2 linked regions of the Oryzias latipes genome follow. Each later gene encodes a partner of the first gene's protein in a complex. Links are inferred from orthologs where the notes say so. Each region holds a gene or a part of one and is shown in the gene's direction. Other genes may lie near its edges.

Region 1 (3,577 bases):
TTCTTTGATTGTTTGTTTCGTTCAGCTTTTCTTCAAAAAGGCTCTGAAGTAATAGAATAATGTTATTTTTATTCATATCTGCGGCCTTGTGCGGGGGTCACGTGACTAGTGGGTTTCTCTTTTTTCCATGGAAAATGTCCTAAAATACGATAGATTGTGGACTAATATCAGTCTATTATTATTATCTATTCTGTTAGTATTATTTGCCTTTCAAGATAAAATGTCTGTTCTTTGTCCTGTTTTTTGTAGAATAAATTTTTCCCAAAAGTGCAACTTATAGTCCAAAAGATACTGTAGACATTAGCTGCAGTTACATGTTCAAAATGTCTGTGATTGGATCAAAGATCAGATTAGAATTGAACTGTGTGCATGGGCCCAGAAAAACTTTATCCAATTATCAAGCGTTTACACGCCAGACATTTGATCAAAATAAATCTTTTTGACATGCGCAGAACTATCTAAACCACTGGAAATGGCTGTAGAAGAAGAGATAGCGAGTTCCATTGAAAACAAACAAAGCTCCGGCATAGAGCGAGATCTAAACGGGCTTTTATTATTATTATTATTTATTTATTTATTATTATATATTTTAAGTGACTGTTTGCTCATAATTTTCTAAATATGTGCGGCCAGTGCTTTACTCTTGGATGCACAAACCCGGAAGAAGGGTTAGAATTAAGCTAATATCAACATTTAGCCTTGGATGCACTTAAAATCCGTGCGGATAATGCCGCAAATTTATTTGATTGTTTGCACGATTTCTCAGGACTGCGCAGAGCAGCATTTCTATATTCAAAAGCTGCCTCCGCCAGCTTACACTGAAGCTGCTCTGAGACTCTTCTCCCGGGAGATGCGGTTCTCCTGAGTCCGGCAGCTCGCTCACGGAGAGCAACTGGACGGACTGTGGTCCAAAGTTTTCTGTGGAACGCACACCGTAACAACGGACCTGCAAACATGCTAGCAAGCTACAAGTCTGGCTGCTCTGCTCATAGTAATGATTCGCTTACGTGGAGCAGCCGGCCGATCCTGTTTGCACTCCAAAGCCTTCTCTGGAGCGCGTCTCTGGAGACGCCACACCGTCTATGCATGATGTAAAACACAGAGCAGTAGTGACCCATAATCAGAATAAATTCTTTACATGAACCACGATCAGATCAACAATCGGCATAACCCACCCATGTCGATTGGAAAGAAATTTTGATCCGAATGAGTCTGATCGGGTCAGAGTATTCCGAACGGCGTGTTTACATTACACATTTTGACTCGGATCAGGCGTTCATTCCGATTACTTTTGGAACCGCAGCTATTGACAGAAAACTCAGCTTTAGGTATGTCACCAATGCAGTTTTCCATTGGGTTAGTTTAAAAACTAACAGAAAAATCTCTGTGTCTACAAATGTGCTGTTTATACTGAGCTGATAGAGTACTTCAAATTTTACCAGCATTTCAAACCATATGACCTTTTTGGGTAAAACGGTGCCGCCCCACCCCTCGAACAACTGTAGCAGCAATTAAAAGCCTCCCCCTCCTCACATATGCACACTGTAAGCACACACAAACCTGCCCACAGTGCTCTTGCCCAGTAAAACCAGAGTGGTTTTGAATGAAAACATTTAAGTCGTTCCTGCGCGCCACACTATCAATAGTCTTACATAAAATATGCTCTGACCCCGCCCCAGCTCTCATGTGTGGGTTAGTAATGGATGTATAGATTGGCGCATAAAGCCAGATACATCGAGTGCATGAAATATGTTCTATAAAAACGCTGACAGTACAGGCATAAAACAGGGGGAGGCTGTTTATATAAAGTAGAGGGAATTTTTATTTTGCGAGATTAAGAGATTTGATCTGATATTTGAGTCTGTAAAGTGCTGCTTTTTAAAGCATCTGAAGTCAACTGATGCGACCGCTTTCCTTTTTGACATTCTGGTATTTCCCCTGAGCCTCAGCCTCTGAATTCCGCTTGAATAAAACATGCAGACAATCGATTGGAGAACTCTCTTATAATTCTGCTGTTTGGCACAATCACAGTGAAACGAAATATTTTGTAAAAAGATTGACAGCAGCTCAACTTCTTTTCATCAGAGTGTGTCATTTAGAAGACACCTGACCTCATGAGGTGTTTCCTCGCTCCGATTGCTGCTTGTTTTTGCAACTGTCCTGGTCTGAGAGGACTGTGACCTTTTGTCCAGTCCTCCGTCACTCTCAGCTTTCTCATTAGCCCCCAGTCCCCCTCAGAATAAACGGGCTTTGAACCTGCCTGTAACACACATTAACCCCTCTGTTCCTCCACTTCCTCAGCAAAGAGTTTCCCTCATGAAACGGCTATGCATACGCCAGCAGTGTTCTTCAGTCCTGAAAAAACAAAAGTGTCCTCTCCTGTTCTCTGTCTGACACTCTTCCAGACCCTCGGGTGGATAATTCATTTAGTCTTCTCTTTAATTTCCCTTGTAGGATGTTTGATGTGGGAGGCCAGCGCTCGGAGAGGAAGAAATGGATTCACTGTTTTGAAGGAGTAACAGCCATTATCTTCTGCGTCGCTCTCAGTGCTTATGATCTGGTGCTGGCTGAGGACGAGGAGATGGTAAGGAAGAGCCCGCCCTTTGATGTGTGCTCGTCTGCATGGAGGATTCATCTTTGCTGGCTTCAGAAATCTACGGAGTAGTGTCGATTCAGTGGTGCTGAAAGACATTCATATCCCCCAACTGTCCTTGTTATGGCTTTATTGTATCAACCTTCAAGCAGTAAGATGAGCTCATTGAACTCCAGTTGAAGTATAATCATTCAGTTACATTTTTTCTCTTCAAGTGACATGAATCATTGCCTTAATGTGTTGAACAGCTTATAGGAGCTCAGGGGAGTCTCTGATGAATCTACATTGTCTTGAAACAACATTTCCTCCTGGTGGCGGCTTCGATGTATTGCTGTTGTGTGACTCATGCCCATACGCCTCCTTTCAGAACCGAATGCACGAGAGCATGAAGCTTTTCGACTCCATCTGCAACAACAAATGGTTCACGGAAACCTCCATCATCCTCTTCCTCAACAAGAAAGACCTCTTTGAGGAGAAGATTACCCACAGCCCTCTCTCAATCTGCTTCCCTGAATACTCAGGTAGGTGGCAGGCAGCATCAAGAGCATGCAGGACGTTTAAAAAGCGTCACTTTAGAAATGATGGTCATTTGCTTCCGCCTCCCAGGAGCCAACAAATTTGATGAGGCTGCCAGTTATATTCAAACCAAGTTTGAGGATCTGAACAAGAAAAAGGACACCAATGAGATTTACACCCACTTCACCTGTGCCACTGACACCAAGAACGTGCAGTTTGTCTTTGATGCTGTCACTGATGTCATTATTAAGAACAACCTCAAGGACTGTGGTCTTTTCTGAAGGTAGGACTTTGGAATTGCTGGGCTGGGTGTAACATATTTTTTCACTCAGTGATGTGAAGAATGAAGGTCATTAAAAGTTGTGACCCACTTTCCCTCAAATGTACAGAAACGTTGTTTTCAATTTAAAACCAAAGGCTTAAAATTTATTCCCTAAATAAATGTTTTCCATTGGGGAAAATAACATG
Region 2 (4,424 bases), on another chromosome or scaffold:
ATTTAGAGGTGAACTCAAAATTGATCATTAAAATTTACCAAAAAGTTAAAACACTGAACTGTAAATGGATTCTGGGCAAACCATTCAGGTTTAAGGGAGTTTCAAGTGAAGAACTGCTTATTGTGACATTCTTGCTCCAGACACAGGAAGTTGCTGTGTTGGCACTGGTGGCATTCAAGAAGCAGTGGTAGGATGAAGGTCACTTGATCAACACACTTCGTTTCCCCAAAAGGGGAAGTGGACGATGAACAAGCAACCTCAGTTCCTCAGAAGAACAGAATTGTTTGGAAAACATGGCAGCAAGTAATTTGTAATCAGAAGAGCGGAATTGTTTGGCAAACATGGCAGCAAATCATTCATAATCTACCAAATCAATCTGACCAAAAAAATTGGACACATTTAGTTCAGTCAGTACCTTTATTGTTGAACTTTTTTGTGTATTCTTTTCAAATAAAAGGAAAAAAAATCGGAATGTTTAACGCTTTTCAGAAATGTAGAATAAAACTAAAGAAAAGACTTGAAACTGTGTTTTCAATAGAATTTTATTTTAAAACTCACTAGTAGTTGTAAGGTAGGGTAGGGTCTACATCATGCTATTCTATTATATTGTCATATATTACCATTGGCACATAAAAAGAAAGCATTTTAGCTGATCACCACTAGCTCCACATAGAAAGTGTGTGTGATAGCCTGGGGGCGGTGCTGGCAGCACAAACTCTTCCTGGAAGGGGCGGTCCTCCACTTTGTGACATCACAATATGAAGACCCACTCATTTTCGTGGATTGGGAGGGGCGGGTGCTCAGAAAGCAGGGTTTTAGAGTGATGCACAGAGATCTGTGAAAGGATCAAAATACTGCTTTGGGGTTGTTTTTCATAAGAAATTAACATTATAATATACTTACTATTCATGCAATGCAATGCATTTACTAATTAACAAGGAAGGTTAAAAAGCCAGGAATTCTGACGATAATGATATTTTCAATCCTAGAATTTTGCCTTCTGACATCTGTCATTCTGGAAGGCAAAGAGAAGTGAAAGATTTTAATATTCCTGACGGAACAAAAACTTTCACTTCTCCGTGACTTACAGCCTTCTCTCAAATTAACAGAAGTATTAAAAATAGGGTATTCATAGCGTTCCATAGTAGGTGTTTTGCAAATCCTCTGACAATTTGTGTCCATCCTGAAAAAAAGCTCCATTTCTGTTTGCTCTCTTCTTCAAGGTTTACACTAAATATTACCACAACACCTTTATAGATTATCACCAAGTTGTGCCATTGTAGATATTTTTTGTGTACCTTTATTGAGAGGATTACATGTTACATACACAAGGAGATACATCTAAAAATTATTTAATAAGCTCTACATAATGAAAAATCAATTAGAATGAAGCAATAACTGTTAACAAAATGAAAGTGAGTGAAAAAGAGCAAACATTTGTAACATACAGTTCAAACCTTTTTTTTCTCCTAAATATTAAACTGAGGGATTCTTCTTTGTTGATGGACAATTTTTTTTTTTTTGGGGGGGGGAAACAGGAAGAACAAAGAAGAAATGAAAACGTCTTCCTGCCACAACCCACATCGAAAAGGCTGTTTAAAACACTGAAACCTCAAACAAATTGTCCGTGTCATTTCACATCTAGACCTGCTGAGGAGGCAGACCATGTAACAGCTCGTCATCATCCCAAAGATCAGGTCAGTTTAAGAACTTTTTTAAGGTTTTTGATGCACACATTACAGGCTTCTTCACCTTAACTGTACTACAACGCATGGCTCACGGCATTGTTTTTCTTTTTTTTATAAAATGGGGTCATGGCACTAAGCCAGTGGAAAACTGAACGCAAACTTTATCTCACAGAAGTTCCTCTGATTTGCTCACACACAAAAATTCTCTCGGGTAATTGTGTAAATTTAAACAATAAAAACATAAAGTTACATGAAGTCTTGTGTGTTCTATGGAAATTGTATTTGTATAGATGTTCAGTTGAATATATTTTTTATTTTCCTGAGCTTTACTTTCACCTACAAAGTGCCAATTTGTCAGACATAAAGTAAGACAAGGTAAAAAGAAATTGCAAGCATGCCTTTTTGTTGTAGCATTGTCTTGACTTTATAGACATTTTTTTCAGTCTATTTTATTTTATCTAAAAAAATAAACCAACCAACAACTAGACCAAAGCTGCAAATATTTAAGTATTAGTAAACCACACACACTAGAAAAACATCAAATACTTACAAGCTGTTTTTCCATTAGAATTTGTCAAATTTCTTTAAAAAATGCCATATTAACTTGATTTACATCAACCTGTGTGATCAATGTGGCTCCACACACTGAAAGATACAAAATGTTGCATCTGATTTTTGAGGTCTGTCTCGTCTAAAGTTTGTAGTTTGTTTGTGTTTTGGCTCTGGTTTTGACCTATTTCTTTCCTTCTTGTTAAACAGACGCAGAAATGGACTTAAATGCCACTCTGTTCCAAAATCCTGATGGTCAGAGCCACACTAACAGCACCTGCTCCAGGGACAACGTTTTGAAGACGGTGGTTTTCCCCGTTCTGTACTCCTGTCTTTTGCTGGTGGGGTTTTCCCTCAATGGTGTGGCGGTGTGGGTGTTCTTCCGCATCCCTTCGCGGTCCCACTTCATTATTTACCTGAAGAACATAGTGGTGGCAGATGTCATCATGACTTTCTCGTTCCCTTTTAAGGTTTGTAGTTCTTGCAAACACCAAAACTTTTGTTTACAAGTTGCAGTTAAAAGAAGAAGCTGTTTTTATTTTATTTGAATTTTAATGCTTCTTTTGACTGTAGATTTTATTTAATATCAAATAAGACCTTAATTTCTTTTAAGGTTTCATAATGAACAGAGCTTTTTTATTGGATCTTTTGGACTATCTTGTAGGATACAACCTAAAATATGAAACCTTCTTTTTCCTCCAGGTGCTGTCAGACTCCAACTTGGCATCCATCAGCGTGCGAATATTTGTGTGCAGAGTTTCTTCTGTGCTGTTTTACCTCACAATGTACGTCAGTATCCTCTTCTTTGGCCTCATCAGCATTGATCGCTGCAGAAAGACCCTCAATCCCTTTAGAGGCACTAACTCTGCCCGGCTGACACGCAGGAAACTTCTTTCAGCGGCCATTTGGATCATCCTGCTGCTCTTGTGCCTGCCCAACATGATCCTTACATGTAAAGACCCACCTTCTTCACATTTCTCGTGCAGCGACTTGAAAACAAAAGCAGGGCTGTTTTGGCACGAAGTGGTAAATTATGTGTGCCAAGTGATTTTCTGGAGCAATCTGGCGACCGTGATCGTTTGCTACACTCTGATCACCAAAGAGCTGTACAAATCCTACTCTCGCACAAATTCACACATTGCTGGTGGGACTGATGCTTCATCCTCTACTGGAGAAACATCTCGCAAACCCGATCAGAGAAAAAGAAAATTAAGTGCAAATGTCTTCCTGGTTCTCGGGGTGTTCATTGTGTGCTTTGTGCCATTTCATTTTGCCAGAGTGCCCTATACAATAAGCCAGACTCGCAATGTTCTCTCTGCTTGCAAATTCAAGCTTGTCTTCTTCCAGCTGAAGGAAAGCACCCTTTTCCTCTCCTCCCTTAACTCTATACTTGATCCGCTCATCTATTTCTTCCTTTGCAAGTCCTTCAGGGACACTTTGTTCAAGACGCTGCATCTGCCTCCTGGTACCTGCAGCTGGATAACAGGGAGGGAGGCAAATACAAGCCAACAAATGTCTACATGTAATTGAAATAAAAATTTAACTCAGGATCTTCTTCTTCCAGTCTTTTAGTCTCCTATGACAAAGTTCTATGTGACTTTACAACAAAGCTATGTGAAAAAGAACAAAAGTAATCATCACCTGTGGAGAGCCATCCATGTTCACAATGCGTAGGTTTTTACTTTGTGTTTATACATTAAAACCTGTATCTACACAGTAATTATTGTTATAAAAGAGAAGTGTGATGTTGTCGTTTTGGTAAAATAAAATAAAAACTTCAATATTTTGATATATGTATTTGAGAACTTTAACTAAAAACTGTTTAACAACAGCTTCAGATGCCTCTTACGTTATAAATAATGTCCTGACTGTAAACATTGTATATTTTTATAGTAAAATTCCCTTCTATAAGTGTTAGTTGTAGTATTTGTAGTGAGACTTTTGTCTGATTTTCTTACAAAAGGCAAACTGGAATAACAATAAAGCAAGGATGGTCGGACTCTATCTTCCAAGAGATTTTCAAATCTGCAGTCTGTTTCATATGTACGGCAAAAGACCTGAAGCTGTAATGTCCTTAGAATAACATTAAAAGAGGAAGTTTCTGATCCCGTGGTTACCATGACCCTTTCATATGGTCAGCAATCTGGTTTGTCGGTTTTAAAACCTCATTTGTCTCAGTGTATCTGC

What was found.
Region 2: the proteins of guanine nucleotide-binding protein G(i) subunit alpha-2 (region 1) and p2ry12 are in contact, whole or in part, in a cryo-EM structure (PDB 7XXI), measured with the Homo sapiens proteins. The link is inferred for Oryzias latipes from reciprocal best matches to the Homo sapiens genes GNAI2 and P2RY12. Residues at the interface, in NP_002061.1 of Homo sapiens: Arg24, Glu28, Ala31, Arg32, Leu195, Glu319, Ile320, Tyr321, Phe335, Phe337, Asp338, Ala339, Thr341, Asp342, Ile344, Ile345, Lys346, Asn348, Leu349, Lys350, Asp351, Cys352, Gly353, Leu354, Phe355; in NP_073625.1 of Homo sapiens: Phe59, Asp121, Arg122, Lys125, Thr126, Pro129, Phe130, Thr132, Asn134, Pro135, Ile212, Leu216, Ser219, Tyr220, Arg222, Thr223, Arg224, Val234, Lys237, Ile241, Leu301, Cys302, Lys303.

Annotation. Positions count from the first base shown.
Region 1 is NC_019863.2:7,271,356-7,274,932, forward strand, and holds part of guanine nucleotide-binding protein G(i) subunit alpha-2, read left to right. Parts: intron 1-2,454; coding exon 2,455-2,584; intron 2,585-2,960; coding exon 2,961-3,114; intron 3,115-3,199; coding exon 3,200-3,390; 3' UTR 3,391-3,392; intron 3,393-3,577. UniProt on the Homo sapiens protein: Guanine nucleotide-binding proteins (G proteins) are involved as modulators or transducers in various transmembrane signaling systems.
Region 2 is NC_019871.2:13,121,663-13,126,086, forward strand, and holds p2ry12 (P2Y purinoceptor 12), read left to right. Parts: upstream 1-1,548; 5' UTR 1,549-1,697; intron 1,698-2,447; 5' UTR 2,448-2,455; coding exon 2,456-2,707; intron 2,708-2,939; coding exon 2,940-3,767; 3' UTR 3,768-4,236; downstream 4,237-4,424. UniProt on the Homo sapiens protein: Receptor for ADP and ATP coupled to G-proteins that inhibit the adenylyl cyclase second messenger system. Not activated by UDP and UTP. Required for normal platelet aggregation and blood coagulation.